4 linked regions of the Arabidopsis thaliana genome follow. The protein of the gene in region 2 interacts with the protein of the main gene of each other region in a pairwise test. Each region holds a gene or a part of one and is shown on either strand. Other genes may lie near its edges. The genes, in order: MYB84, AT4G32295, AT4G22250 and RFI2.

Region 1 (8,171 bases), on a different chromosome or scaffold from region 2:
ATATATATATATATATATATATATATATGAACCACTTAACGGTCAATTTTTATTTCGACAAAATATGATTATCATGTGAACCAGATTTAATAAAATTCAGTTCTGTTTGCCATAAGCAGATGACAAGAAATCGTCAAACACTAGAACAATTGGATTATTCCATTTCCACACTCCTTTTAACTAAAATAAAATTTCGTTCCCACAAATAAAAAAGTGTCAATATCTTCTGTTACAAACAGATTTCTTTTAGTTCTTTTTGACGTCGAGATTTCCTTCTTTTAAGACAATGACATTTTTTTAAAGAAAAACTTTGGAATTTTTTTTAACGTTCTTCTAGTGCGTGTCGACATCGGCTGGATTATTGAATCAAAATTAATTATGTTGTAGAAGTCCTTTTAATTATTTTTATTTGACAAAGTCTTTTACTTGTATGTAAGCAAATAAATAAAAGTCATTGTTAGTTGTCGTAAAGCTATATGTCGCCAAGCCAATCATTGTTTTATATGGCTTTGTTTACATAACGTCGAGGGGTTTTGACAGAATGTACAATTAGTTATCTATTACTTAAGATTATTTTATCTAATCCTCTTAGTTTTATAGTAGTGTAGTTTTCGTTCCTATATTCTTGATTTTTTGTTTCTTGATTTCTTCTTCTCCGTTATTATTCTCTTTTCCTTCTTTATTGCTTTTTAGCTTGACCCAATACAAAGTTAACGATATATTATTAAAAAAAAAAATCAGCCATGTTAGAATTTTTAAATTTTTTGTTAATGTTCTTTTGGTGTGTATATGAATAAACCATTGTATCGTTTAGAGTATTTTAAAGTTATAAAAATTTGTTTTCTTTTGGTTGTCATTTTTTGTCTTTTAAATAACTAATATAATAATTAATGAACTAAAAGACACAAACTCATCAATGTTTTCGATATTTTCTTACTTATTCAGAAGTTTTTAACAGTAAAAACAAATTTCTTTGATCACTCTTAATCGTCTAAAGCGGGAGGGTAGAAAACTTTAGTGATTTGTTTGGTTTTTCTACTATACATCTGTTTTTTTTTACTCTTATATAATGTAGGATTACAAATTATTAAAAATAAAAAATTCTCTCTTCTTTTTTGTTTTTTCCAACTTCAAATATCCAACAAAGAAGACCAACCAGCTTGAAAAGACTGTAACCAAAGTGAAGAAGATAATAAAGATCTCTCTTCTTTAATATATGTTTTAGTTAGTAGTATACTTATAAAAGATTACTTGCATTTTAGATTCATTTGACATGCACATGATATCTACTTTCATGCATTTTACGTAGCTAGCTTTGGCAAATGTGGAAATTTATATGACAATAAACTTTCTTTATATTTCTATGACATTTCGTTTTTACACTTTGAAAAAGAATATAGTTTTTTTGGTAGGTAAATGAAAAATGGTTCAAAGGTGATTATGTCGCATGCCAATGACACGTTCTACAATCCACTGAATCACTAATGCGAGTGGCTTACGTGCATGATTTTCATCACTAGGTCCCTTTCTTCCTATATCACGATTAATAATATATTACTATTACATAAAAAAATACTTAGATACGTACATTAGGAAAAGAACTTTTCCACGCGTCTTAAGATTATGACTTCATTGGAAGACATATTTTGAAATTTTGATAACGAAGTGTACTTTGAAACTTTCAGCTACATTCATATATACAAGTAAAAAGCATTTAATAAGGTTCTTGATTGTGATAAAAGGATATGATATTTACTATTTAATTAGTGAAATTTTGGTGAGTGATTTAGGAATATTAAATTAACGGCAAAAAAAATTGAATAATTATGTTTGTCATTTTGCTGTTTGAAGAGAATGTTTTGGAACATTCTTGTCTTTCAGAGAGTACTTTTGTAATACTCTTAAGAAGAAAAAAATGATGCATTTGTTTTTGTAATACTCTTTGAAATCGTTATCTATAATTCTATATATCATCTCATTTGTCCTATATCATCTCATGAGTCATGAATATATGAAGATCAAAGATAATATCTAATTGAACCGTGAAGTCTAGTCTACTTCTAACTAGCCTTCTAGCTAGTACTGAATGGATTGTTTGATCAACAAAAGATTTTTTGAAGCGAGAGTTTTTATACGTATATTTCAAGCGACAGTGTCATTTTAGGACTTTCTAAATTTGATTTGATTTTTGAATAGGCAACGAATGTGCCAAACTCGTAAGGGAAAGAGAATTTTCGTATGACATCATCATTTGATTCTGTGAGGAAATAAGAAACAGACTAGTGACTTGCTAGGAATAGAGAGGTCATGTCTTTGAGAAGTTCAGAGTTGCACACAATTCATTTATTTGGTGATCCAAACTTTTCATTGGTCAAATGGTTAGGTATTAATTCTTATATCCTTATAAATCCATCTATGTTAATTCTTACTTATTATTAACATCAATGGTTTCCAGCTAAATGCTTCGCACAATCCGACATTGAGGTAAACATAAATTATTCGAAAAAGTAGGATGAACATACAATCAATTAAAGAAGCATATATACAATCAATACATCCAACCACGTACATATGGATCCGACCATATATAATCAGCTCATATGCCAAGGCCCCAAAAGCACCATTAATATTTTCCCATTTTAAAATGTGTATAACTTTGCGCCCAATAGGTATATTATGCGTGTAAATTTATGTATTATCATATTGTATACATAATGGAAACGTAACACATCATGCACAATATACTCTTAAGTGTTAACTCTTTTCACATAGGCATCCATACATATATACATACATGCATATTACACGTTCTTACTTTAAAAAAAAAAAAAAAAGTAACAATAACAAATTTTGTTTATCTAAATGTGATTACTTCGCTAGGATCTTTCGCATATGAGTTCATACTTCTGCATATTAGAGTTAATTTCAAATCCAGATATATGAGATATCAATAAATTTAAACAAACTAGATCGTTATTCCATATATACGTTACGTACCCCCAATTAATAATAATGATGTACGTTTCATCTTAAGAATAATATATTATTATAATTAAAAAAATTGCTTTGAATCAGAATAAACAAGAGAGCTTATGTCTTCCCAACTTATAGTGCTTTGATCTGCCGAAGTACTTGTGGAGGCTCCTGAGAACAAGTTTACGGTTTCGGCCTGGAAATTCCCGAACCACTGATTATCATTACTTGTATTAAGCAATGGAGAGTTTGTGTTGGCGCTCAAGATAGAGTTCATGGAGAAACCCTCGCCTGATCCTAAGTGGTTATGATTAGGATCTAACAAGAGTTGAGAGAAAGAGAGATGATCAAAAGCGTTTGTCATTGAATCTTGATGATGATGAGGGTTTGTTTTCTCCAGTTCTTGATCTTCGATCTTGACCATGTTCTTGATGAGCACTGGCTTAACATCTTCTTGGTCGCAAAACGAGTTGGTTTGATTCATGAAAAGAGCTGGAACTTGAACATTATGATGATGTAGTGGCCATGTGAACATTGTTTGGTCTTGTCTCATCATAAAAGAAGTTTGGATTTGTTGTTGTTGGTGTTGTCTCTTCATCATCACCATCATCTCTTGCTGCTCCATACAAGCTTCTTGAAGCTCCTTGCGTTGTTTGTTAATGAGTTTCTTCTTGAGCCTCGTGTTCCAATAGTTTTTTATATCGTTGTCTGTTCGTCCCGGCAATTGAGCAGCGATTATAGACCACCTTTAATTATAGACATCATCACATAACTATATTTCAGAGTTTCCACATGATATTTTAACGATATATACATGAATAACGTATATGAATAGTACCTGCTACCAATTGTAAGGTAAAGGCTACAAATGATGTTTTCTTCTTCCTCAGAGAAGCCACCATGTTTGATGTTTGGTCTAAGATAGTTAAGCCACCTCAGCCTGCAACTCTTTCCACATCTCTTTAAACCTTAAAACAACCAAGAAATAATCATATAAACAAAAAGCATCTTTAGTTATCAATACTTCTTCACAAAAAAAGAGATAGATCAAGAGAGAATTATCAAATTTATATGAAAAAGAGTGACTATAAATTTATTAATACCAATCTTTTGAGGCAAAGCGATCCAATTGCCTCCGGTGCCACTATTTTCAATGTAAGATTTGAGTTTTGCATCTTCCTCAGGAGACCAAGGCCCTTTCTTCACGTTTGCTTTGTCACAACACGGTGCTCTTCCCATACTTGTACTCCTAGTGAAGTCTTGTTCTTAGTCTTGTTCTTGATAGCGGCCTCTGTTTATCTCTCTATGATCAAGATTATATATGTTGGTGGGTATGATGTTGTGTAAACTATATAGGGGAAATATTATGTGAATGCAGAAAAGAAAAAAGGAGACTATATAATAGCTGGAGGGGGAGATGTCAAAAAGTCTTTGTAAGAAAAGATGTCAAAAAGTAGGAAAGTTGTAATAAAAATAGAAAATCAAAAATCAAAAAGTAACTTTAGGGAAATTTAAATGTTTTAATTTATTAATTCAACATAAGTAAATACTATACAATAGTGGAATTAAGAAATGGTAGAGAAGATAAGGAAGACTATTGCACACGCAAGTCGTCAAAGAAATTTCTCACAAGTTTTTTCCTAGCTAATATTATTGATATGTGCAAATTCAATTTTCTTTTCTTTCACATCGGGAAATACAAATACATATTTTAAAAAGTACTTTAGTCTTTCTTTACACTAAGTTACTTATGATAAATTAAATATATTATGTATTGGATCTTTTAACTACTTCTTTGCAGTTGAAAATGAAAGGATGCACCAAAAGTAGATTGAAACTAAGTATAAGGGTAAAAGTTCGTTATGGTAGGTGAACAAAATTGCCAAACCGAAGAAATTCTACTCCGGATCCGGTAAACTTATTAATCCCAGGGTAAAACAATAAGAAAGATAATACATTACTCTAAAGAGTGATATCAAAGATTGATTAATTGAAATATTTGAATTACCTACACACTCGCTTAATAATCATATCATTACGTAGTATTTTCTATTTTGGTCACATGATACATCGTTAATACTTAATATAAGTACTTTTCGAGTTTCTGTTATATTACAAATGGGAATCTAATCTTAACAATCACGATGAACAATCTACAAATGATTCTATAACGGTAAGTTCTATCTGCATCACAAAAATATCTGATAGACGATTCTATTCACATAAGATATATTCTGAGCTAAAAAAAACTAGACATAGACATATATTCATTATTGTGTCCAATTTGGTAAAACTGATTTTACAAAAAAAACAATTAACTTTTTAAGAAAATGAAAATACAATTTAGTTTTACTAAAAATGAGCTTGAGTAGAAGAAACCGAAGCAAATAATGTCTTTTGCTTTGGTTTCGATTTATATGTTTTCTTGAACAGAAATCTCATACAGCCAATGAACTGTGGTTAAAATAAAATAAAAAGTACTAATAATTTACTGTATACTTCAATTGAAACTTAATGACTGACTCTTCTAGACGAACGAAAAAGGTTGACTTTAGTTGAGATTGGACATTAGGGTTTTAAAAGTCAAGCACTTGGAGAAATAAAGTCATAAGCGATTCAAATTATTGAGTTTTTTCCTCATTGTTATATGTTATTTTATACAGAATTATCACTGAAAAAGTAAATAAAGTTTTTTGAACTTTAAAGCTAACGTTAAAGAAAGGAAATTTTTTTGTTCAGATTTCAACACCATTGCCCATTGGTAGGAATTGGTCTTGAGCGTAGGCCATCTCTTCTTTTCCAATTTTTCATAATATATAAAACACAAATTCATAAAGTTAGATAAAGACATAAGAACATCGCCCCTATTGATTTGTACTTAAAATATCTTTATATCATCACCTAAATTTAAACTAGCATAATGCATGGTGTTGACAAAAAATTCATATGATTATAGAATGATACAATGATTGTAGTTTACATTAGTATGAATATTGAAAAAAACAAAAGGCTAAAAGAAGAGGTTTGGATATTTTGAGTAGGCATTTTTTTTTAGCTCTTCAATAATTTGGTCTACTTTTATTAAGGACCCAATAAGTCTTCTGGAAGTACTCTAAAGGTAAAAAAAAGTTGTTCACATGAAAAACACACCTCTCTATCTCCTTTCTTTTTCTATATTTAAAGATAATTCATATAAGACTTAAGTTTCAAGTCATCCTCACTACTTTTTAGATTAGTTTAGTAGATAAGACATGTTATTATCTCGTAATCATGAGATAATCATGACATCTTTTCAGGTCGTAAACAAGTCCAAGTCCACGCTTCTTAGAGATTCGAATCTAGCTTGCTTTCTCCATCCAAAAACTTAAGTTTGATTTGTTATTTGCCAACATTTTTGATGACTGATAAGTTCTGGTTTGAATCTGATTAAAATGTTAATACTTCACTTTTTAGTTTTTGATTGTTAGATATCAATGATGTCTCAGACTTTAGAGAAATAATTGGATGTAACCATCTAATCAGAAACAGAGATCTAAAGATAATATTATTGGTATGATGCAACAACATCTAATGATCTTGAACCAGCTAAGTTCTAGATCAACCAGATTCTAAACAATCCAACTCATAGTTTCACGAATCAGAACCACAGACCAAAGAAAAGAAAGCAAAACCAAGCAGCCGAATTGATGCAATGCATTCGCCTGGCTTAACTAAGATTCACAGTCCATTTCATGTTGTCTTCAATCAGACCCATCTGCAAGCTTGTCAGAACGGTGTAGAGTTGCTTCGACACAGTTCCGAAGGTACCTTCTCCGTAAGACACTCTGTGTGTGTATTCGGAAAAAGGGGAAAGCTTTACCACTTGGTAGGTTTGGTTTTCACTTAAATTGGGATACAAAGAAAAAACGTTTTACCTTTTGCCTTTGTAAGTGACGCTTCCAACAGGAGAGACAACCACGGCGGTTCCTGTGCAGAAAACCTCGTCTGCTTCTAACAATTCATCCACTGTCACATTCCGTTCCTCCACCTGAACAATACCGTATAAACATGCACTGTGATCAGAAGCCAATAATAGTACTTATGATCCACTTTAAAGATGTTGGGAATTTAAAGAAGGGGAAGAGGTCACCTGAAACCCTTGTGTTCGAGCCACGTCTATCATACTTTTTCGAGTAATACCGGGTAAAATGGTTCCTTTTATTTCAGGAGTAGATATCACATTGTCCTGGCAAAGAAAAGTGTTGGTTAAAAAATCATTATGTAAGAGAATCAGTATCTTGATATGTTTGTAAGAATGCCCCCAAAAAAACATGGTGCCAGAGTCTCAATCTCATCATCTCCTACGTCTTATGAAGAGAGACATCTTATAGACTCTACAAGGCATCATCAGATTCCGAGAGATTGATTTTTATTTACCTTCACGATGAAAATATTGCAAGACGAGACCTCCTCAAGATATCTTTTGTAAATGCAATCAAGGTACAAAACATCGGAATATCCTTTAGCTTTCGCAATTGACTGTGCCTTCAGTACCTAAATAAATAACTTGTATGTGTGAGTTACGAAAGCTGGTCCAATAAAATCAATAAGTGAAATAAGCTTTTACTTACTGCAGCATAATTGCCTATGGTTTTAACACCTCCGGTACCACCAGGAGTTGCACGGTGAAATTCATTCTCCACAATCAAATTGATAGGTGCCACACCTTCCTGACATCATCATATAAATCCGTATCATCATTCAGAGAAACATACAACAAATCTTAGATAGTTGGAATAGATCGAAGTAACTCTGAAAGACCTTGAAGTAGTTCCCAACAGGCGAAACATAGATAATGAAAGTATATTCTGGTGCAGGCGCAAGACCAAGAACAGCTCCTGTTCCCATTAGCAATGGTCTAACATATAAGGAACCTTTACCTGGTGGTGGAACCTAAAAACAAGACACCAAACACAAGTTAAATTCATAACAGCAAACAAATATCTAGATAATTTCCTCTGCATATCGGGAGACAAAAAAAACTGCGTGATTCATTACCCAACGTTTGTTTGCTAGTACAGTTTCTGTCACAGCTTCTACAAACTGCTCAACGGTTGGAGCAGGCATACACATCCTCTCAGCACCATTTCTCATACGCTTTGCATTCTCCTCAGGACGAAAGAGGAGGATGTTATTACCATCTTTCTTTCTGTAAGCTT
Region 2 (8,332 bases):
TCTAAGCCCCATCTTCCGCAAACTTAGACCCCGTACTAGATATTTAGATAATTATTAGTTCTAATAAACAACCTAATACTCTACATTTATCCATTTCATTCTCCTAGTTTCTTTATTCACTCTATCTACAGTGTACATTTACATAAACCCAGTGTATAGTCAGAACTCAAAACCCACATCACTTTCCATTCATAGTCCAATAAATATCTCTACTTTTGTCAAATGTCCATTAAATATCTTCTCGTATCCAATGTAAGGTTTCAATGTGGCTATTTGGTAATGAATTGGTTCCATTTGCTAATATGAAGATTATGATGAGATTCGAGTAGGACGAGTTTACTTTTTTACTCACGATAATGGTATACTCGGGTTTTTGTTTTTCCCAGCTACCCATTTAAATTACAATTATTATTTCCCCACAAAAAAGAAAAAAAAAAAAACTAAAACTAAAACTGAATTTACAACAATACCATTAGAGAAACCATTCACACACCACCGGCTGAGTCATTGAACAAGACGGTTCGAGCCATACCCAGCAACGGCTCAAGAGCCTGCGGTGAAAACTTCCTAGCAAACAGAAACGGATCCATCCGCTCAACCTTAGACCACTCCGAACCGTTGATTCCATCCTCACCATATCTTGGTCTAGTCTTTCTAAGCCGCAAGACCAGCTCAGGCACGACTTCCTCCGGCTCGTACATCCTCGGGTGACCACCGTCGTTAACAGTCCAGTCCACGTGAGTAAGCGTGGCGGGGACACATCCACGTGGATCCCGCATATTAAGAAGGGTAGGAAAGTAACTTTCTTCAGGATAACACGAGTCTTCCCGCACGCACGTCTGGTTAAACTTCACCCATATACGCCGATCACGCGCCACCACACGCGCGTGTCTCCGTTTCAAAACCCAAAACTGAGACCCGATCCGAAACTCCTCGAGCTTCACCTCCGGAAGCATCGCGTGTCTCCCAATCGCCGTCCACCTATCGAACTGCCACGGCTCGTCTTTAAGTATCTCGATGAAGCTCTTGCGCGACGAGACTAATGTCTTGTAAGTGAAGTCAAAGGAGCGAATTGGTACGCATGAAGGTGATATAACCGCAAACATGTAATTCAATGGATCGTCGAGAAGCGCGTGTGCTAGTAGTCTACGCGCCGCCGCAGTTAGAGTGGGAGTGTGTCTCAGCGAGGGTTTAGAGTGAATGACCCGGTTCAAGAACACGCCGGAGAACGGCGGGTCGTATTCTCGGGTCGGATCCGCGTGAACGTAGACATTGTAAAGATTCTTGGAGATTCCGTCGAAGAACATCTCCCAAAGAGGCGCGAACGGAAGAGGCGACGTCGTTAAGTACATAAAAGCTATTTTCCGGGTCGAACCGGGAGGTAGATTCGGGTTAACCCGAGAAGATAGTCGAAGAAGAGGGTCGTCTTCTTTGGGAATCGGCTGTCGAATCCGAACCGCCGGAGAAGAAGAAGAAGAGTCGGGGACATTTCGAGAGTAAAGAGAGAAGACGGAAAGAGAGCGGAAACCAAACTCCGGCGAGATAACGCAGGTGAGTTCTCGCTGGACTGTGAAGATAACAGCCACTGGAAGACATAGAAATAAAGCGCAGAGGAGAGGAAACAACGTCGGAGATATCATCTCTCACTCCACCGGAGGATTAGAAGAAATCAGTGACTAGACTACTTTTGCTTTTTAGAGAGAGAAAGAAAGTGTTCTATTATTATCAACGACATTTGGTTTCTAGAGTGAGAGAGTGGGATTTGGTGCAACTTGTTGTATCTTATTATTACGTTAAGAAATTATATATTTAATTCGAGTACACTAATTATAGAAATATATAATTCAATGGCATTTCATATTTGGAATTTTACATCTTTATATAGAAAAGTATTCGTCTTCTCTCGAGTTGTCATTTAATATACATAACGTTCTTAGTTTTATTTGGCCACTAATTCTAATAATTTTGATCACTGTACTGTTTATCCGAAAAGAGTATATATGAATTGAATTCTATTTGGTTATCATTTCTTGTACTTTATCAGTTTGTCATAAATCTGACTAAATCATAGGCCACACATAATGTGATTGTGTATGTATAAAGAATTTATTCGTTTGATTAGTGTGTTCAAAGCTAACATTAAAGGAAGGAGTCATAAAAATATTCGATTTACGTGGAGGGTTCTTAGTCTTACAAGTGGATTGATGGAAACCGTTGGATGGTAAGCTTTCTAATGACATCACGTGGCTGCGTGAATTTTCGTAATCGATCCGTTTTAGGAAACGTTTCCGTCTCGAAGGCAACAGCTTTGTTGGATACGAGTTTCTCTGTACGGTGGTCCACGTGGTCGACATGCAATAGATTTGGGCCTTTAAAAATCTGAGTTTTTGGGCCTTTCACTAACGACGAGAAACCTTAAGGTGGTTTTCATTTTGAGTTTTTGAGTTCAGACTTGAAAAGTTTTAGGACGATGGGTCTTCGGTAATGTTTTAGACCTTTACTTTATTTGTCAGCAACGAGATTTTATTTTAGTTTGTCAATTCACTGATTTTTTATTTATTTACTAGGAGTTCGCGGACAATCGGTTTATTTGATTCTTATACTAAATTTTTGAATGAATTTGATATTTTAAACTTATAAATATAAAACTTTTTAATTAAATATAACTAAATAATAATTGGGATTTTTTTTTTTTTTGTTATTTAGTAATAAAAGGAATGTATTAAAATATGTATTAATTAGTTATGTGTATGTAATTTTAGTAAAAGTAAAGACTATATGAATTATGTTATTTATAATTATATGTCTTTAAAGTGAAGATAAAAAAAATAAAATTATTTTACTTATTTTTGTTGAACGGAATTAATTTTATTGAACGGTTTAGATTGAATCGGATCATATAAAGTTAAGTAGATTGTTAAGACCAAATTACCATAATGATTTTGAATAGCAAAGAACAAAATCCAAAATTAAAATCAAAATTAAGGCGAAATTAAACAAAATTTTAATTTGTATTTCCCTTTTAATAATAAAGAGATTGACGTCATCTTGAATGTTTCAGTGTCAGCGAAAAATTATGGCAAAAGATTAGACGCGGTACGAAAGCAATTCACAAGATTTCATTTTGTTTCCTTTATTATTACTTTCAATCATACGATCTTCTTTTGTGATTTGTAGAGAAAAATCATACTTATTATGCTTTTTAAGTCGTTCTTCTTTTTTCCTCACAAGACATGCAATCAATTGAGACCTCACTGGACTGGGTGATTTGACGCAAGTTATCCACGTGTCTTATTTAAATTTGACAGTTCAAAATCACTCCAACAGTTGCCTAAAACTCCTAAATAATTTGGTGAATGGTAGAGTTTTTAGTTATATTTTAGTAAATTATTGGACTGCAACTCTACATAGAGTAGGCCGGACCATGATAAGTTTAGGCAGACTAAACCGGACCGGACCGGACCGGACCAGTTGGACAGGACTACCTCTCTCCCCCACCACACTCAAATAAATTATTGAGAAGTGAAAACTAGTGAAGAACAACAATCTCACTTTGTCTTTTTTTCTCTCTCTCTCTCTCTCTCATAGAAAAGGAAGTGGTGGAAGATGCCGAGGCCAGGGCCAAGACCGTACGACTGTATCAGAAGAGCTTGGCATAGTGACAGACACCAACCCATGAGGGGTTTGCTCATCCAAGAGATTTTCAGGTCATCATCATCATCTCTCTCTCACTTTGGATATCTATCTGTGTATCTATAGGTTTGTGTGTGTGCATGTCTTTCTTTAGCTCAATTGTTCTTTGAACTATTTGTAGGATTGTTTGTGAGATTCACAGCCAATCCACCAGGAAAAACACAGAATGGCAAGAGAAGCTCCCTGTTGTTGTCTTGAGAGCTGAAGAAATCATGTATTCCAAAGCCAATTCTGAGGTTTTTCTTCCAACATTTTAATTACAAAGGATTGTTTCTAAATAGTATTTCGATTTTCATTTTTTGCTTTTTATTGCCCTCTTTGAACAGTGTGACTGATAGTCTCTGGTAATCTGTACTAAACCTTGGATTTTATGGAGTTGATAGAGTGGATTTGTAGCTAATGTGTTCATTTGGAATATGAATATTTTATATACTTCTTGTGGGTTTGATGTTAGGCTGAGTATATGGACATGAAGACCCTTTTAGACCGTACAAACGACGCCATCAACACAATCATACGACTTGATGAGACCACCGAAACAGGGGAATTTCTTCAGCCTTGTATTGAAGGTATACAATACAATCTGTATATTCGAGCTTTCGGGGATTATTGGCTCAGATCAATGAGCAAGTCTTGTTTATTATGTAGCTGCATTGCATTTGGGGTGCACACCAAGGAGAGCTTCAAGGAGCCAACGGAACATTAACCCGAGATGTTATCTTAGCCAAGACTCAACTAACTTGGACAACATGTTGTCCCAAGTATTCATGAAACCAAACAACTTTGCTCCAAAGAATCTTGCAGTAGCACAAGAGAATTGCCCTGTCTCCAAGTACTCTGCCTACCCTTTATGCTATTCATTCCGGCCAATCAGTGACTCGTGTAAGTCCAAGAACAGTAGACCGGCGAGTCTCATTGACGCAACAAATGGCATTACCTTTGGTGGGTGTGAATGTGATCTATCTCTGCGCTTAGGTCCTCTTGGACCTCCTACTCAAAAACGAAGTAAGATAAGCAGCAACAATAACAACTGAAAAGGAGAGCAAGATTGGGTTTTGATTAGCAAGTCTTGTGTTAGAAGAATGTGTGCTTAGTTAGGCCTTTTAGTCTCCTCTCTAGACCCTAGGTTTAGGTTTGTGAACATGTAAATAGAGAGACGAAGTAACAAAACAGGAGATGAAGTCGTTTTCTTCTACCTGCATCAATCTCGAATCATCAGACTTCACGAATGTATTTTTACATTGCAACACTGTTCGAGAAATATCCATTCCACATCTCTGTTTTCACAACAAGCATATTAAATGCCCTACATTGGATTTTCCATCGAAAGACTTTAGTTAGACTCCATCTGATTCTTCGGCGACCGATGATGACTCTAGCAGGCTCCTTATGAAATGGGCTTTTTTGAGCCAACTCAATTTAGGCCCATTTAGTTGCAAGTAGGCTGAAGAACATTCGGTAAAACGGATCGAACTTAAAGTTTCGTTTGCATTTTTATGAAGATAAGACACACTTGTAACAACTTTGTGGAAGATTTTTGAAATCGTCTGTTCTACAGAAAAACCGAGTGAACTTGGACGTTAATCATCATAATCAACATGAGATTCTAAGTACATTAATTAACTATATAATTCTTGATTATTATATGATTTCATACGATCCAGCTGTTCGACATTAGACTCGAATTTGAATCAAAGAGGACAAATCTTAGATGCAAAAACTATCTTAACAACCAAATCTTTTGTGTAGATATACAAATGCTCTTGCAGATATTAGTAGTTAAAAAGGAAGAGAAGATATTTTATTGTGTGTTATAAACCATTGGACCTATTTCAATTTCAAAAGCATAATTAAACTAATTCCTTGACAACCTGGAAGACCTCGTCAATTCTCAGTTTTCACCTAATACGAATCTTATCAACCTGTGGGAACGAAACACACTTACCAGCATTTTTCCAAGCAGTCCATTGTTGAAAATTGGCAAAGTAAGATTTTAAAAAGGGCCAACTTTTTTTGTAGTTTAATAATTTTTTCACAAAAGTAATTTCTCATTGGATTATGAGTAAAGCTTTTCTTTCTCATTACCCAACCTGGTCCATTATTATACATATATGTACAAGAAACAAAATATTATAATTTATGTCTTTACCTAAAAGATGATCCAAGTAGTTCCAATTATTAAATCACTAACCAATTGACTCTCTACGTATTGGTTTGACACGAAAGGACCGTTCTCATGGATTCTGTTTTGTTACGATATAATAATAACATAATTATTATTTTTTCTTGGACCATTATTGATTAATTATGTAATCTTAGTCATACGTTGACGGCTTTCATGAATCATGATGATATCAAAAGAGATCATCCGTATGATTGTAGTGGAAGCGACATGCGGACTATATATGTCACGATATGCTAAGATAATATTTTTACTTTGTTAAATGATATGTTAAGATAAGATTTGCTGATTCTTGTAAACACACATGCCTACATACGTAATAATTTATAATGCATTCATGAAATCATGTTGTATTATGATACATGTTATACATATCTAGATGTAACATGAAATAACGACGTTGTAATATTTTATATTCGTCAACATAGGAGATTTGGTTTATTAGTATTGTCCATGCTTTTAATTATAATAATCGAGTTTGAAATACAGATGTTAATTCTATAACAGTTTGTATTTTTTTATATAAAACATGTTTTCTTACAACGGATATACAAAGTTAAGTATACAAATAGTAGTTAAATATTAGGAATCATATATCCAAATGTTATTCTAAAAAGTAAGCAAAGCTTCTTATAGAGGTGTCAAAATAGGTAACCCAACTCAACTCAACTCATAATCAAATGAGTTATGGGTTGACCCAACTCATTTTGTTAAATGAATTGGGTCAACCCATAACTCATTTAATTTGATGGGTTGAGTTGTTAAATGGGTTAACCCATTTAAATAATAATTTAATTAATTATTATTATAAAACAATAATAAATAATTATCATTATTAATAATTATTAATTCATTATCATCAAACTTAGAATATTTACAGATTTCACCGTTTACGGATTTACGTTTTTGGCGGGAAAATCACGTGTTTTCGTTTTTGGCGGGAAAATCACAGGTTTTTGTTTTTGGCGGAAAAATCACGGATTTTCGTTTTTGGCGGGAAAATCACGGGTTTTCGTTTTTGACGGGAAAATCACGGGTTTTCGTTTTTGGCGGGAAAATCATGGATTTTCGTTTTTGGCGGAAAAATCACGGGTTTACGTTTTTTGCGGAAAAATCACGGATTTACGTTTTTGGCGGGAAAATCACGGGATTATGTTTTTTGGTGGAAAAATTACGAGTTTACTTTTTTCAATTCATCGCTTGTATATTTAAGAAATTTGGAAAAATATTGATTTTATTAGATTGGTTTAGATGTGTTGGTTAAACTTAAATTGACATTGGTTTAGAGATTTTAGTTGGTTTAATTCAATTTTACAAAATTTGATGGGTTAATTGGGTAAACCATTGAAACCATTAACCATTACAACCCAACTCATTTTACTCATCAAACCAATTGACCAAATAACTCATTTGACCCATCAACTCATTTGAGTCAAAAATTTCAACTCATTAGGGTTCATGGATTGAGTTGAATTGAGTTAACTCATGAATTTTGACCCATTTTGACATCCCTAGCTTCTCATAACATTATTCTTCAATAATTTCCATCAACTGCTTTGCCGATCTTTAGACCAGCTCTTTCTTTCCTTTAATTTCTTATTCGTGTGGAAAGGAATCGTCGAATAGACAATGTGTGAACTGAACTTATACTCTCTTTAATTTTTGAAGTGGAACAAAAAATTAAACTTCCTTTGATATAGCAAAGTCTTGCTTATTTCATATGAATTATCTTATTGAAACATTTATAGATCATTTTTGCTTGAGAATTGAAGTTTTCATTTTGAAACAACTCTACTTAAGTATCTTATTAATGAATACGTAAGAACTTACAACTTCAATGTTTCAAAATAGATTTAAATATATAAGGAATAGATAATGTTTTTGTATAATTCAGATAAGTTCTCGAAGGAATATATATATATCAAGATGTATTTGAAAAAAAAAATTATTAAAAAGTCCCACATATATGTATATATATATATATAGATATACTGAAAATCATTGAGACAAAAAACATTCAAAATCAGTAGAGCTTATAGGTTATAAGTAAAATGACTTATATTATTATAAAGAAAAAGACTTATAGAACAAGGTGAGAACGTAGTTACATGTAGTATATATATAGACAATGGACATACAAATAAATGTGTAAATATTGTGTAATGTACTTATAAATATTGGAAGATGCATGTTTGAGGAAGTTGCACTTAAGGTTTAGGGACGTTCGTAGTGAGACTGAGACCTCTTGCGCTGTCACTGTTTAGGCCACGACGAATCAGTCTGATCCGTTACTATTGCCTTGCTGTTTACTAATATTCTTTATTATTTATAATTATTTAATTGTTTTTTTTTAATCGTTTAATGCTTTCACAGTTTTATTTTAATTATAATATGGAATACACTTGGCGATTCGCCAACTAATTCCTGAATAATTTATAATTGAAGATTTGAATGGGC
Region 3 (7,534 bases), 3.8 Mb from region 2:
AAACTTCAGGAACAATCATCGAGTCCAAGCAACGATTTTGCAAGACGATGAAGAGAAAGTGGTGGTGGAGGAATCGTTTAAAGCCGAGACTTCTACTGGTACAGAACCACTTGAGGAGCCAAATATGAGTTCTTCTTCAACTAGTGCTTTTGAGACATGGATCATCAAGCTTGAGCAAGGAGTGAATGTTTTCCTTACAGTAAGGTTTTATAACTCTTTTATTTACCTGAAACGTTATGTCTTACTAGAAATATAGATTTTTTGGTTGTGTTATTTTACCGGAAGTTATTTCATGTCTTCTGATTGTTGTCTTGTTTTCGTTTTCTCCGCAGGACTCGGTTATTAAGATACTTGACACTTTGTATCGTGACCGAACATATGCAAGGTTCTTTGTTCTTGAGACAATTGCTAGAGTGCCTTATTTTGGTAAGTGCATCTATTTGTAATTGTAGTTTCAGTTCGTTATAATATTTGCAAGAAACATTGAGCAGAGCATTAAGAGCTAGTCATTAGGTTTTGTATTCTTCAGAAGACAGTAAGATTGTGAACATCACTTGAGATGTGTGCAGAAGAAGAACAATGACGAAATAGTTGTGTTTGAGGAATATGTACTCTTTCTTATCTCATTAGAAGCATAGTTCAACTCTTAACAACAAAAGGCGATTCAGTCATCGAGATATTGGATTTGTTGAGAATCGAATCTTGTTTTTTTTAGTGTGTTTATCACTAATTATGGATCTGGATACCAAATGAAAAGTTGTTCCGAGGCTAGAACATAATGTTTGTTTCTTCTATATGCTCCTTGCAGCGTTTATGTCTGTGCTACATATGTATGAGACCTTTGGTTGGTGGAGGAGAGCAGATTATTTGAAAGTACACTTTGCTGAGAGCTGGAATGAAATGCATCACTTGCTCATAATGGAAGTAAGAACCAAAATGTTACTTCTCTACAAGTTTCATACTCTTTACTCACATAGTTAGTAATAGTAAAACAAATGTTTCTAATCACAGGAATTGGGTGGAAATTCTTGGTGGTTTGATCGTTTTCTGGCTCAGCACATAGCAACCTTCTACTACTTCATGACAGTGTTCTTGTATATCTTAAGCCCTAGAATGGCATGTAAGTTTCCTTTCCGCGTAACTTCTAGAAAGTAGCTGAATAAATTGCTTCTGGTCTACATGACTTCGTTAACCTTGTGTCACCTATGCAGATCACTTTTCGGAATGTGTGGAGAGTCATGCATATGAGACTTATGATAAATTTCTCAAGGCCAGTGGAGGTTGGTTACCAATGGTTTTTTCTTCTTTCTCCACCATTCTGTGTACCATTTACATTAGAACTAAAGTTGTTAATGGAGTTATTGCTTTGAAATATTACACAAAATTCTTCAACGATCTTTACATTCTGAATTGTTGTGCTTCATTTTTTTTTGGTTTCCCTAAACAGAGGAGTTGAAGAATATGCCTGCACCGGATATCGCAGTAAAATACTATACGGGAGGTGACTTGTACTTATTTGGTGAGTTTGTCTTTCCAGGAATTATCAATATCCTCCAGAGTTGTAGAGATGTTTTTACCTATGATTAGTAGTCTTTTAAACTGGCCCTGTATTGTCTGCAGATGAGTTCCAAACATCAAGAACTCCCAATACTCGAAGACCAGTAATAGGTAGCAAATCTATTTCATATCCGTTTAGTTCTTTCCATCTCTGATTCCGTCGAACCACAAAATGCTAAAAAAAAGTTTATGATTTATCCATGGTTATGATTCTGCGCTCTATAAATGACTGAGATTCTGTCTTATGTTTGTATGGAGGAAGCATTATTCACAGTTTGTGACTTACTTTGATGTTAAAATAAGAATCTATATAACGTTTTTGTTGTTTTGTGATTACGGTTGGGCAGAAAATCTATACGATGTGTTTGTGAACATAAGAGATGATGAAGCAGAACACTGCAAGACAATGAGAGCTTGTCAGACTCTAGGCAGTCTGCGTTCTCCACACTCCATTTTAGAAGATGATGATACTGAAGAAGAATCAGGGTGTGTTGTTCCTGAGGAGGCTCATTGCGAAGGTATTGTAGACTGCCTCAAGAAATCCATTACAAGTTAATAAATTAGAAAGTAAACTAAAAAAGATTATTTGTATCAGCTCATGAACAATAGATATAATCCCATATACTTGGGAATAAAGGAATAATGTGAAATTCCCATCGTTGTGCTAGTGTGTGAGAGAATCAAATACCCTAATGATGTAAATGTACTTTGATGAGCTTAAGTCGTTGTAGACCATTTTATCCATACTACTAGCCTTTGTGGTTGCATTGTCGGTTTCTTCAATTCTTATTTCACAGGAGTAAAAAAAATGTTTAAAAGTACAAAATCATTGAATGTATCATTCTCTCAAAAAGCATATTGGTATTAGCGTTTAGAATCTCTATATCCCACACTTTTATTTTTATTGGTTTTGTTGGGGAGAGTGTGGCGCAAAGACGACGTCGTCTATGCGAACATTTCACGTGGGAAAAGCCTTGATTCATGCGCCTTCTTTAATTTTTCTTCTTTTTTTTTTTTTTTTTTTGTCTCTTCTTTGCCTTTCACTTTTTAAAATGATTTTCCGCGGGTTTAATAACAAAAATGTTTTCCCGCCAGAAAGGTTTTACCAAAAAACCATGTTCCGGTTATAGCACAGGTAAGAGAATTCATCAGTCTAGTATAATTAGCAGTAATCAAATTCGAATACTTTGATCGTCGCTTTTATTTCAGAGTTAGCGTTACATTAATAGTACCTTTATTCGATTGATGATTTGTTTAATCTTTAATAGGGTTTGAACTCCGATGGAGGACCTTTTTTGTTGGTAATATTCCCTTCGTTTCACAATATAAGTTGTTTTAACTAAAAATACGTATATTAAGAATATTTATTTTTAAAATGTTCAACCAATTATAAAAAAAACTGTAGAATATAAATAATCATAAAGTATTAAAATAATATATAATTTGCATAGAAACTTGAAAACAACTTATATTATAAAACAAAAAATTTGGTATAAAACAACTTATATTATGAAACGGAGGGAGTATAAACTTAAGTACTAATTCGATTTTGTTTCTATTCGAGACCTTGAAGACTTTTTTATTTAATTTTAAAACTAAGTCGTACAGTTACAGAAACAGCATTAAATTTTTCCTCTTAAGTAAATTTATTTTTTCTCTTTCTATCAGAAATTCAGAAGAACTAACATTATAGTTGCCCCCATTGCGTACACTGTACATCATTTCTCGGTAAATTACACATAATTATAAGTTGATTAACCTTTTAAGTTTTAAACAATGATGTAAGTAACTTATTAAAAATTGGTTTTTAAAAATTGAAAGTTATATACTCAAGTTGGAAAAATATTTTACAAATATACTCGATTCCACTACTACTGTAATTTTGTGTGGAATACCAGTCAAACAGAATCGTTATAACTGTTAAAAATTAGTAAAACTGTATAAAGTAATTTTAATTCGCGGGAAATCAATATTCGGAAGCAACTTTAACAAAAAAAATAAAGAAATGTGAAGAGAAAAAAAAAACTCTGAAAACTTCCTTTATAATGTCATCATCACTGCGAGACCCAAAGATCTAAACAGTTTCTCTCTCTCCCTCACAGGGCTCTCTCATGGCGGAGCTAATCTGTCTATTTCACTGGTGATTCTGTTTCACTATCTGAGAATTTGTTTAGAGTTTCCGTTACCGAGTCGATGATGAGTGAACTCGATCTCGGAACGAGTCAGAGGATGACGGAAACACACCGCACGACGACGACGTTTCTTGATTTGCTCCGACGACAGATGAGCGGTCACGATCTCACCAGAAGGAAACGGACGTTAAAAGAACGGTTGAGATTCAAATGCATCGGATGCTGTGGTCCAACCTGGAATCTCCGTCTAACTAACAACACCACTCTTCACAGTCCAACCTCAAGAGACGACGAAATCGAAGAGTTACAAATTGAAACCGGACTCGTTCTCGAATCGGATCATGGATCGGGTACGGGTATGAATCTCGCGACAGCGTTAGAAGCGGAGAGGTATAACCGTGGAGAATCGACGGAGGCGGAGGCAGATATGACGCCGAGGAGAGTTTCGTTGATGAGATTGTTGGAAGAGACGGCGGAGAAAATCGTTGATGACGACGGGAAAGAAACGGAGATATTAACGGCGTCTATTGGGACGTTAACGGGTAATGATTCGGTGTGTTGCGTGTGTATGGGAAGAAAGAAAGGCGCTGCGTTTATTCCATGTGGTCATACTTTTTGCAGAGTGTGCTCTAGAGAATTGTGGCTGAACCGTGGATCGTGTCCTCTTTGTAACCGTCCGATCATTGAGATACTCGATATTTTCTGAAAACGATCGGACGGCTAAAAGTTCTCGATCCACGTGAGTAAGTGAGGTGATCCCTAGATACGTTTCCAAAGTTTTAACTACGGTTTGTGTACTTTGTACGTTTCTTTTGGTTATTGAAGAAGATGATGTAAATGCAAAAAAGAATACAAGAGGTTTTTTGTTCACGAGGCCCATTTAGTCTATTCAAGCCCAGTAAACCGTTATTTTGGATTTTATCTAGCCTAAACAATGCTCGCCTCACACCGTCGAGTGGATTCTTGGCCGTTGATCTTGTCTCTCACGTGGCAGTATCGTAGTCGAATGTACATGATCTATGTGGAATAGTCGATATTATCCCTCTTGGTGTGAGTTTGGTAGTTGATGAAAGCAAAACATTTACGTAACAATGTCTATAAAATCAGTACAGGTCTATTCTTGTTCACTAGCTTCGAAATTTTAGTCGAAGAAACAAAAAAAAATGGCGACGGTACAATTGTCCACCCAATTTAGCTGCCAAACCAGAGTTTCAATCTCACCGAACTCTAAATCTATCTCCAAGCCTCCGTTTCTGGTACCGGTGACCTCAATTATTCACCGCCCGATGATCTCCACCGGAGGAATCGCTGTTTCCCCCCGTAGAGTTTTCAAAGTCCGAGCCACAGATACGGGAGAGATAGGATCAGCTCTATTGGCGGCGGAGGAAGCAATTGAAGACGTGGAAGAGACGGAGCGGCTAAAGAGATCGCTCGTGGATTCGTTGTACGGAACAGATCGAGGTTTAAGCGCATCGAGCGAAACCAGAGCTGAAATCGGAGATCTAATCACACAGCTCGAGTCTAAGAACCCTACTCCAGCTCCGACGGAAGCTCTTTTCCTTCTCAACGGCAAATGGATCCTCGCGTAAGTTTTTTTCCGGTGAAAACTTTCTCTTGTAGTCCTGTAGATAGCATCATTCGTAGGATTCTGGATTCAAATGGTAGATCTCGTGCTGCTTTTGATTTGGTTAAACCTCTTTTGCAGCTACACATCGTTCGTGAATTTGTTCCCGTTGCTATCACGAGGAATCGTACCGTTAATAAAAGTCGATGAGATCTCTCAAACCATTGATTCAGATAACTTCACCGTCCAGAACTCTGTTCGTTTCGCTGGTCCTTTAGGTACAAACTCGATTAGCACCAACGCTAAATTCGAAATCCGAAGCCCTAAACGCGTCCAGGTAAATTGACCATTCATCGACCATGATCTGATATCAACATCTTGAAACGTTTTCAGTAATGTTTTGGATTTCATTTTTCTTGCAGATTAAGTTTGAGCAAGGCGTAATTGGGACGCCTCAGCTAACGGATTCTATTGAGATACCGGAATATGTAGAGGTTCTTGGTCAAAAGATTGATCTTAACCCGATCAGAGGGTTACTTACCTCGGTGCAAGACACAGCCTCGTCTGTGGCTAGAACCATATCAAGCCAACCACCGTTGAAATTCTCTTTGCCGGCGGACAATGCGCAGTCTTGGCTACTCACGACTTATCTAGACAAAGACATTCGGATCTCTAGAGGAGACGGTGGAAGTGTCTTTGTGCTTATCAAAGAAGGAAGCCCTCTCTTGAATCCTTGAACTTGGTCAAAATATATGTCTCTCTCTTGTCGTTGTGTTAAGTGAGACAAATATATAGTGTGGTTGTAGGTTTACTTCTTAATCGTTGTTATTAACTCGATGATAAGGAATATAATGTTTTTAACTACTACAGAACATCTCGTCTATGGCCTATGAAATGTGTCTCAGATTTTCACAAAATTCAAGTGTTTTAGAATTTCATTCTCTTCTGTTTGATTTAGAAAGTAAACTATGTACCGATGCAAGAGTTACATGAGAATTATCCCGGCAACGTCGGGTCTTTCGATAAGAATCGAGATGATGACTGTCATTTTGTTGTCTAATTGGTTCACTCTGTGCTTGATGCCTATCATTTTTTTTTTGAGGGACTCAGTCACTGGAAATGGTTCTATTAGTATGGTATGGGATACTTGTTAGTATAGTACTCGAGGTTTCTAGCATATGCCATAGAGTTTCTCAATATCTGAAGCCCTATTTTGAATGTGTTTGTTCTTTCTGTAATTTATTTAGAGACCATCAGGTAAAGGAAAAACTCAATTCAGACAAGAACATAAGAAACCTAAATTGACCAAATTTCTCATATAACTGAAAGTTTGAAACTGTGTTTTGTTATGTACAGTTTGGTGGAGGGTTTGATGCGGAGAGCATGAATCAGAGCCAAAACTGAAAGTGGAGGAGACAATAATAATGATAACAATGAAGAATAATCTGTAAACTGAGTTTTATTACTTTCTTTTTCTTCTATGTCTCTCTTTATCATTGTAGCACATATTTGCTATATAGGATTTGAATGGTTGCAACGGTTAAGGCGGACAAATTCGTTTGCGGTTTGAACTGTTTTTTATTTATCATTCATATTTGTATAGGTGCGAATTTAAAAAAGAAAAAAAAAACCACTGCAGATTAACTACGGACTGTTTTTACATACAAATATAATTAGTTCGTAACGGTTTATTGCCCATTTTAAAAATAGAGCGGACTAAATCGCTGACGTATTTGTCCGCTCTAACTACCGTTAGTAATAATATAGTTTGTTGTCAAAAATACATTCTTTTGTTTAGGTTTGCAGATGATTTTTTTTATTTTCTATTACTATATTTTAGTCTTTTAGATGATAAATTCGCAATAAATTTGTAATCTGCCAAACTACTGAAAAAAGAGAAAATAATTGTGGTTTGTCTTAAAAGTCACTTGTTTTAAGACATATCATGTGCAGCCATGCAAAGTGTATCTCCCGAATCTTCTTCACTCATTAATGTTTTACAGTATTTTTATAAATTTTATCATGTTAAGTACAAAATAAAAATAAGAATGGTCCATTAGAATTACAGCATATAACAACAAGGACTAGTTCTCTTTTGTAATTTTGTAATTTTATGCAAACGTATAAAAGAAAAATAATCGTGTTTTATTTTTGGAAAGGAATTAAGTATTTCTGCCACCACCTAACAAACAGGGTCCATTTCTTGGGTCTAAAACTTTTCACGGTCAAACAAGATATACATTGATTACTATTATTGTATTCGTATTATCTAAAACACTAT
Region 4 (8,599 bases), on a different chromosome or scaffold from region 2:
GAAGGACAAGTAAGTAACCACACTACGTATGAGATGAGTCGAAAATCCAGCTATCCATTACAATCACAACAGTTCAAAGGCGCAGGGAAGCTAAATATGGCCCAACTTGTACTATTTCCGTTTAACGCGTTAAGATAGAAACGAATCAAATGGACTATCCACTCACAGAAAACATTCAAAATCTGGTGTCATACAGGAAGAAACCCCAACGGAGCATTTCTGTAATCAAAATGACGAAGACGACAAAACAAAAACAAAAACCCCAACGGAAATGCAGATTACTAACTAGAGTAAGTCGTCTCGGAACGAAGGAAGAAAAATAGAATAAGAGAAAGAAGAAGGCGAGCGCAGGTACCGCATCCAGGCTCGCCGACGATGAGAGTGACGCGATTCTCGAGGATTTTGTCGATGATTCTCCTTTTCATCGCCATAATCGGAAGCGAAGCGAAGTTGGAGGAGGGTAAAGGTAACGATTCAGAAGAGCTGGAAGACGAAGTCGGCGAAGAAACCGCCATTGTTGTCGTACGCGGAGCACTGTCTCTCTTCCTCTACACACAGAGTCTAGTCCAGTCTCTGGTATTTCTAATACTGCCAATCACATCCTTCCTCTCTACGCTTTTAGGGGGGTTTTAGGGGAGCGTCGATCAGGTGCGACGAGCGTACGTTTAGCTCGCTCGTTGATCTCTCAAGTCTAATAAGTTGACTAGGTTTGACTAGTCAAAATGTGTGCGGGTGTATACACACACTGGAGAGCTTGCCGCGAATTACCTAGGTCCCACTAAGGAAAGGACATATATATATCATGGGCAAAAAAGTGCCGCCAATCAAAACACTTGAAAAAAAGCAGGAAAAAAACTTACAAATAGAACCGGCCCACTCATAGCCCAGTAATAAAAAAGTCCATTAATGGATATCTCGGGTCATCCAAAAACCCGAACCCGAACCATTTTCGATGAAGTTGACGAACCTGTCTGGTTTTGTTGCGTTCTTCCGATTTGGGTTGGAGAGGAAATGGCGTCGGGATGGGGAATAACGGGAAACAAAGGGAGATGCTACGATTTCTGGATGGATTTCAGTGAATGTATGTCTCACTGCAGAGAGCCCAAAGATTGTACCCTTCTTCGTGAAGATTACCTCGAGTGTCTCCACCATTCCAAAGAGGTAGGTACCCACTTCTTTTTTCCGGTGATATTGTTTGAAGAATTTCATTGATTTGATGGTTCTGATGTTCGCCACTGTTTCCGGCTAGATCAGTGTGATTGTGATGTCTAGATCACTTAGTTGTCGAAATTCCAAAAATCCTAGATCAGGTCGAGCAATTGGGAAATGAGTCCCATGCCTTTGTTGATTGGCCATTTTCGGAATCCTCAGCTGCAGAATCAAGATGCCATTGAAAGATCATGTTCTCTTGTTTAAGATAGGATGTATCGATTAGGCGTTTCTGGAACTAAATCATCTCTGTACATGTTACAACTGTTTCTTCTGCAATTACACGGCTCTCTTAGAACATTACGATTGACACCAGTGGTTTCTTTACTTTGAATGAAGATGCTGTAAGTTTAAGTTTTTATGTGTTGTGTACCTGTTGTTGCAGTTTCAAAGAAGGAACAGGATATACAAGGAGGAGCAGCGTAAACTAAGAGCAGCTTCGAGGAAAGGTGAAGAAGCCGGAGATGGGACTCACAACCATCACTAGTCTCAACAATCCTCCTTCAAGCTTCATCCGATTCCAGAGAAGAATAATAAAAGGTTCATGGAAGATTTTGTATCTTGGAATCTCTAAACGCTTTGATTGTTTTTCAGTTTTCAATTTTATCCAATCATGTTCTGCTTTCTTTTTATGTTAAATCGTCTCTTTGAGACGTATACTTTTCCACCTGAATTATGGACATGTGGATTGTGGATCATTTACTTCTTCACTATTACTCCATCCAACCAGGAACAATGGCAACATTTTGTCGATAACTTGTGTTTAATTAATTATAACAATTGTTCTTGGAAAGCTCACAATGTACATTGGAAACCAGTTATAGTTACATCATAAACAAGTTTTGATCGATCAAACAAGTCCCCAGTTTTCTTTTATACATTGATCATTAAGCCTGATAGAATTCTCCCAGGCGACTGTAGAGTTCTGACACAACTTCTCTCAGAAGTGTCTATGCCACAAGCTAGGGATCGTGCGATGATTCGATGGGACAGGGAAATGTGGGAACCAATCTCTCTCCCATGCATGAATTTGATCGGTTTCTGGTTCATGGTGTCCACCTGGATAAATGAAGAATCCAACGTTCTGATCTGGCATTGGTGGGGGAGGTGGCGGCGGCGGTAATCCCCTTCTTGTCATGGAGATGAGAGGTGATGCGAGAGTGGGACCATTGGCATGATGTTGTTGCCTCTGATGATTATAAGCATGATGCTGTTCACGCATTTGGGTGCTGCTTCCTTGGTAACTGTTAATTGCTGGTGAGGACCTTTGATTAGACCTACAATGCCCAATTCCAAAAGAATATTGTAAAACACTCTGCAAGAAGTTGAGAGCAATAGGGAGTTTGAGAAGCTAACCGGTGACTAAAAAGAAATGGATGCGCATAAGGTAGGCCTCGTGCTGCTGAAGAGTCAACTTCACCATCAACCACATGAGCAGCGGGTAGTGAAAACGATGGGGAATGGTGATGATACTGGGGGGCAACAGGAAGCTGGTGAAAGTGATCGTTAGAGTGGCTGTTCCAGGGATGATCATCTGTGCTGTTATTGTCGCTAGTTCTCGGGGTAGCGGCTGGGCCAGGTCCAACATATGCAAGATACGAATGATTCACAGCAGCGGCGTGATGTCCATGGAACTCAGTATGATCTAAGGAAGAAATATGGGTTTTGACATTATAAACGGATTGCTAGACAAAATGAAATGATTATATACAGAACAATCAGCGTCTAACTTACATGTAGTGGTTGCAGGTTCCAGTTCCCTGAAACACAGAGCAAAAGTCAATTCTAGCTTTCGCGTTTGAAGGATCAAAAGCCTTAGAAAAGAGAGATAATAGCAAAAACCATGGTAAAGGTGTTGTAGGCTTACTCGAAAGAAGCTGCTGCTTGAGAGAGTTCACCAAACGGGCACCAATGGACCCGATATTGCTGCAAACCCCGTAAAAATGTCAGGATAAGCGATCTCTCATAAGGAGGTTATATGATAAAAGCACAGTTCTCATGTACACGAAAAGAAAGCATATCGTTGCACAAAGTAGTGAGCTTTTACCATTTCCGGATAGCTTAAACCGTACAAGTCTTCTTCAGGGATCCAATCTTCCATGGAAAACTCTGGAAAGGGGCGAGTAGAACCGTTTGCATACAACCACTGACCCTTTTCGACATTGCGACAGTTAGGGCATTGCATGGCTCCTTTCATGTTAAATGCTGATCCAATGCAATCTGCAAGAAACCAAAAAACAAGCTGCTAAAGGGAAAGCCGAAAATAGCAACAAATTCAGCAGCCAGATAATAGAACTAGCAAGCCTCATTCTATATCTACACAAGAGAAGAAACCGATTCACAAGTTACGACACACATTTGTCAGAACTCGATCATTTCTAGGATCAACCAACTGCAGAGTCGTGGCAATCTAAGCTTGTAAACAAAGCAAGGGATTAGGAATCCATCTATATTCTCAAATTCATTCAATTATCGTCCAAATCTACCATCAGATAATTGCACAAAAGCTTGTACAAGCAAAAAGCCATCGGATCATCAAACTGTGATGGAGGGAACGCAAAATGGTAAGAGATGGAGGAAGGGAATGAAATACCCAAATGGAACTGGTGACCACATTGGAGCTTAGCCTTGGATCTGGTACCATCATCGAGCACCGATTCGAGGCAAATCGAGCACGAGACTTCGACAGGAGACGAGGAATCCTCCGGGTTCCCGCGTTTTCCAGGGTCACATCCACCAGCAATTCGGAGATCATCATCGCAACCCGAATCTTTAGCTCCGGCCATATCTTCACCAGCAGGCCAAATCGGAGGGAACCAACGAAAATTTTCGTTTTTCGAAAGAACAAAAAAAAAGAAAAGAAAGGATTGTCAAACAAAAATCAATGAGAAACCATGTCTCGCTATCGCTATCTGTCTCTCCGAGTTCGTCTGCCTTTTGGAACGCCGATGCGGTAAATCTATCCTTCCTCTTCCTCTCTCTCTCTCTCTCTCTCTCGTCCGACCTGTTAGAGATGACGTGGTTCAAAACCGGACAATGACATTGGACTCTCCCTTTTCTTTTCTTTCCTCTCCCATTGTGGATAATTTTTTATTATTATTTTATTACTTTAGTTTTGGATAGATGATCATCAAACCATCCATCCATCTGAACCAACAACCAAACTATAAATTTGTTCATTTAAATCATTAATCTCTATTTAGTTGATTTGTTTTCTTCTCTAGTCTCTTTCATATGAAGTTTATTATAACTTTCACATCCATTTTGTTATGAGAAAGATTAGCATATTATAACACACGAATATTGATTGTCTAAGGATACCAAAACATTGTATGTAGTAAACAATTACACATATAGATGCAAATGTATATTGTCTTGAATCGTTGTTTCACATCAAGCTAATATTATTTCACTTTATTCTTCTGAATTAGAAGACTATGCAGAGACTTTGCTTTGACCGAGTAGCCTTCCCTTAGGTTTCAGACCTTGATCTTAGGCTTCTTCACGATCATCACCGAGCAATGAGCATGATGAGCGCAGTAGTCACTCGTACTCCCGAGAACCGCCCTGCCACACAAACCGACAAGTGAATCAGAATGGGTGTATAGTTGAAAGATTGATCATAAGAATTAAGGCTGAATGAAATAATACCTCTTGATAGCTCCATATCCATGGCTTCCCACAACAAGAATAGAAGCATGATGCTTATCTACAACTTCACATAGGATATTCCTTGCATCACCTTCGAAAACTTCGATCACCGCGCCATGAACCTACACAACAAACCTAGGAATGATGATTGAAAAGAAGAAGATAGTTGCTAACCAAAGATAGATAGTTACTATAAGAAAAACCAGTGCTACTTAGCTTGAAGCTCTTAAATGTGCTAGAGATTCACATTCACATTACCAAACTCATCTAATAGAGTCCAATACAACACATGATGACGATTATAAAATCCAAGAAACACATAAAACGAATTTGAATGTTTGATAATAGCAAGATCGTACCGATCTGCTCTGACAAATTGCTTTGGCTTTCTCGACAACCTTAGCAGCGGTATGCTTCAGATCAGCATCAACATAAGGTACAACCTCCGCAGTTCCTAAAACACACAGATTAACAAAACCTAAATGATCTCTCCCCATCGCTGCCCAAAACAGAACCCCTAGAAGAGTAGATTCGAGAGTGAAAGCAAAGAGCGTACCGGGACCAGCGAGACCAACGGCGGAGACGGCGTTAGGTTTGGCGTGGACGATGAAGAGCTTAAAAGGATAATTGGGAGCGTAAGGAGCGAAGAAACGATCGAGCGTCCACTCCAAGGCGTAAGTGCTCTGCTCGCTGTCGTCAACTCCGACGACCATCACCGATTTCCCATCTCCGGTGGCCATGACTCTGACGTTGTTCGCCGGCGTGAAGAAAACGCGCTCTTGTGTTTGTGGTAGAAAGAAGCCTAGAAGAATCCTCCAAAGTGTTTGCACAGAAAAAGAGAGTTTTGGTATCTTCTTCTTCTATTATTTAATTTCTTTAAATAAAAAGAAAAGAGGAATGTGATACTTTGATTTGATGACGTGGCTGGTCCTCATTTCTTTATGCCTTTCCATTAGTAAATTTCCCAATATTTAAAGTTACCCACAGATTTTAAATAAGAAGAACCCACAGATTTTACACAAAATTTATTCTAATTTGAATATTACCCATAAAACAAAGTACATAAAAGGATTTTGCAGGTTAACAGTTATTAGCTTTTTAGTAACAAACTGATATGAATTGGTTTGATAACTTTCGATTTTACTTGGAAATTAACTATTACAAGAAAAATCTAATTTCAAATAGTGGAATGATTTGAGTTGGGTAAAATCCGGCTCAGATGATAACAATTACAAAATAAAAATGAGACGGCCGGCTGTAGAATAATATGACGACGTGAAGCAAAAGCAGGAGTGCGACAGAAACCTCTCTAACCAAATTGCTTTTAGTTATATTCTTCTTCGTCTTGACGCTACTCTTTACCTTTTTTTATCTGATTTCAGATTTCTCCAGAATCTTCAGATTCCCATGGCCACTGTTCATGTTGTCGGTCTGAAAATCAATTCTGGATCTCCAGGGAAGGACACATCCCGAAAGGCACCTGATGCAATTCATGCTGCTTTATCACCGTCATCATCTCTATCATTACTCAGAGGTACATATACCTTAAACCCCAAACCAGTTTCTCCGTAGCATTTTGAGACGTCATCATTCTTATCTATCATCAAACCTTGCTCTTTGTCCATATAGGAGTGTTACCAAAGTATTTCAGCTCAGAGTTGTCAGTGGCTCAGTTCCGGTTGGTCGAAGGATCTTAATACATAGTGGCATTTGGACATGAGAAGAACACAGATTCTTGGGATGGATGGGAGGTAAGAGAACCATACCCTAACCTTAATAATGTCCTACAAGTCGGATCAGCAGCTTTGTTTGATTTTTGGGTGTTTTGCAGCTTCTACAAAGGCCAGTTTTGATCCAGTACACGGAGGAGAGATGTCTCAGCTCGAGTATCATAACTGTCTGAAGCCGCCTTCTGTGTTTTGAAACAACAAGTCAGCATTCTCTTACTTCCTTTATATATATTAATCTTGTTGAGATTCTGGATTTTAGGCTTGTGTCTTTGGTAACATATGTGGTTTCCGGTTAGTTATGGAATTGTCGGTCAATCTCGAGGCAAGAAGAGAGAGTATGTATATATGTAAATGTTGAACCACTAATCACTTAATGATTATTTAGTTAATTACGTTGGATCTCATATTGAGAATACTATTTTGCATATATATTTTTCTGAAAAAAACAACAAAAAGAAAGGTCAACATTACAAGAGTAAAATTGCATATGAAGAGAGTGATAATGAAAGTTCAAGTGTTTGTTTCTGAATTCTTGACATGTATATAATCACCATATAACTGTTTCCAAATTGTAGATGGTAATGCAAAAATCTGATGAGGAGGGAGATGGTTCTGTTTCCAGCAACTAGATTTAGTTATAACATAAGGGGATTGATTATTGTTATTGTTATTGATCCTTCTTCTCCTGTTGAATTGGATTGAGAGTTAGTTGGTCAAAAGGTGTTATGGGTTTTAGAAAATTAATAAAAACAGGTGGGCTTTGTCTGTACATGTCCTTAAATTATTTGTTTTGGGAGTAGTTTAATATCGAATGATACGTTTACACGTAAAAAGTCTTTTCTTTTGAGTCGTCGTCTCAGGAAAGATGAGATTCGTTTCTAGGAGAGGTTGACTTTTTCAATCCACACTTATAACTCTAGAATCTTATGTCATTGATGACGACCTCCTCTACACTTTTGGATTTGTATGTTTACAAAGGAAGGAAGGATTACCTTAGAACAGTTTATGTGATGTTTGTGTCTTTCTATTTTTATTCAATGAAATTTCTTTACATGTACATAGATTAGCTATATTGACATGAATCTAACTGATTTTTTTGTTTGCAAAATAACAAATTAGTGAGGGGAATTTTGTTTCAGTCAATAAATCCGTGATTTCTATATGTTAGATGGATAACAATGCAATAAATAAAGGGGACCCAATAAAAAAAAAGGAAAGAGAGACGTGCCTGTGGGTAGTGGGTGGTGGTGAGAAGATTCTGGAAAAATGGGAGCAATTCAAGCTCGTCTTCCCTTGTTCCTTTCTCCCCCTTCTATAAAACACCATACCTTCCTTCATTCTTCTTCATCCAATTCCAATTTCAAAATCAGATCCAACAAATCTTCTTCTTCTTCTTCTTCTTCGATCATCATGGCCAGTATCAAGGTTCACGGAGTTCCCATGTCCACCGCCACAATGCGCGTCCTCGCTACTCTTTACGAGAAAGATCTCCAGTTCGAGCTCATCCCCGTCGATATGAGAGCCGGTGCCCACAAGCAAGAGGCCCACCTTGCCCTCAACGTAACCCCTTTCTCCCTCTCTCTCTTTACGAACAAACAAAACTGAAAACACTTTATGTTTGGTTTTTCCAATTATCTGACAATGATCTTTGTTTTGTTTCAGCCCTTCGGTCAAATTCCTGCTCTCGAGGACGGTGATTTGACGCTTTTCGGTCAGTTTACTTTTGCTTTGATCAATGATTTGACTTTTTTAGATTTACAGAAACATCATTACGCCTTAGTCACTTTGTATTGGATAACGATTTATCTGAAATGACAGACTGTGATGATTATTTTTGTTGCTGAAAGTTTTTGTTGGTAATATATTTGCAGAGTCAAGAGCCATCACACAGTACCTAGCAGAGGAATACAGTGAGAAAGGTGAAAAGCTTATCTCCCAAGACTGCAAGAAAGTCAAGGCAACCACTAACGTATGGCTTCAAGTTGAAGGTCAACAGTTTGACCCTAACG

What was found.
Region 1: the proteins of AT4G32295 (region 2) and MYB84 interact in a two-hybrid assay, tested with the Arabidopsis thaliana proteins (one large-scale study listed by BioGRID).
Region 3: the proteins of AT4G32295 (region 2) and AT4G22250 interact in a two-hybrid assay, tested with the Arabidopsis thaliana proteins (one large-scale study listed by BioGRID).
Region 4: the proteins of AT4G32295 (region 2) and RFI2 interact in a two-hybrid assay, tested with the Arabidopsis thaliana proteins (one large-scale study listed by BioGRID).

The regions. Positions count from the first base shown.
Region 1 is NC_003074.8:18,423,982-18,432,152, reverse strand, and holds MYB84 (myb domain protein 84), read right to left. Parts: upstream 4,419-8,171; 5' UTR 4,213-4,418; coding exon 4,077-4,212; intron 3,942-4,076; coding exon 3,812-3,941; intron 3,720-3,811; coding exon 3,053-3,719; 3' UTR 2,872-3,052; downstream 1-2,871. Other genes in the region: BCAT3 (branched-chain aminotransferase 3), read right to left, coding at 6,680-6,797, 6,888-7,000, 7,103-7,198, 7,390-7,506, 7,584-7,682, 7,774-7,905, 8,011-8,171. UniProt on the Arabidopsis thaliana protein: Transcription activator. Positively regulates axillary meristems (AMs) formation and development, especially during inflorescence.
Region 2 is NC_003075.7:15,589,354-15,597,685, forward strand, and holds AT4G32295 (histone acetyltransferase), read left to right. Parts: upstream 1-3,534; 5' UTR 3,535-3,606; coding exon 3,607-3,707; exon of another isoform or gene 3,708-3,814; coding exon 3,815-3,929; exon of another isoform or gene 3,930-4,147; coding exon 4,148-4,262; intron 4,263-4,341; coding exon 4,342-4,727; 3' UTR 4,728-5,202; downstream 5,203-8,332. Other genes in the region: AT4G32290 (Core-2/I-branching beta-1,6-N-acetylglucosaminyltransferase family protein), read right to left, coding at 486-1,640.
Region 3 is NC_003075.7:11,764,546-11,772,079, reverse strand, and holds AT4G22250 (RING/U-box superfamily protein), read left to right. Parts: upstream 1-3,516; 5' UTR 3,517-3,750; coding exon 3,751-4,395; 3' UTR 4,396-4,625; downstream 4,626-7,534. Other genes in the region: IM (Alternative oxidase family protein), read left to right, coding at 10-199, 333-426, 809-924, 1,012-1,120, 1,212-1,280, 1,448-1,519, 1,621-1,668, 1,905-2,113; AT4G22240 (Plastid-lipid associated protein PAP / fibrillin family protein), read left to right, coding at 4,853-5,274, 5,395-5,590, 5,676-5,990.
Region 4 is NC_003071.7:19,550,357-19,558,955, forward strand, and holds RFI2 (RING/U-box superfamily protein), read right to left. Parts: upstream 4,292-8,599; 5' UTR 3,996-4,291; coding exon 3,803-3,995; intron 3,430-3,802; coding exon 3,257-3,429; intron 3,136-3,256; coding exon 3,077-3,135; intron 2,970-3,076; coding exon 2,944-2,969; intron 2,855-2,943; coding exon 2,566-2,854; coding exon of another isoform or gene 2,487-2,565; coding exon 2,150-2,486; 3' UTR 1,958-2,149; downstream 1-1,957. Other genes in the region: AT2G47680 (zinc finger (CCCH type) helicase family protein), read right to left, coding at 356-515; AT2G47690 (NADH-ubiquinone oxidoreductase-like protein), read left to right, coding at 907-1,161, 1,595-1,696; AT2G47710 (Adenine nucleotide alpha hydrolases-like superfamily protein), read right to left, coding at 4,689-4,776, 4,861-4,982, 5,220-5,314, 5,417-5,600; AT2G47720 (uncharacterized protein), read left to right, coding at 6,268-6,394, 6,692-6,783; GSTF8 (glutathione S-transferase phi 8), read left to right, coding at 7,857-8,150, 8,253-8,301, 8,462-8,599. UniProt on the Arabidopsis thaliana protein: Mediates phytochrome (phyA and phyB)-controlled seedling deetiolation responses such as hypocotyl elongation in response to red and far-red light. Required for light-induced expression of LHCB3 and CHALCONE SYNTHASE (CHS).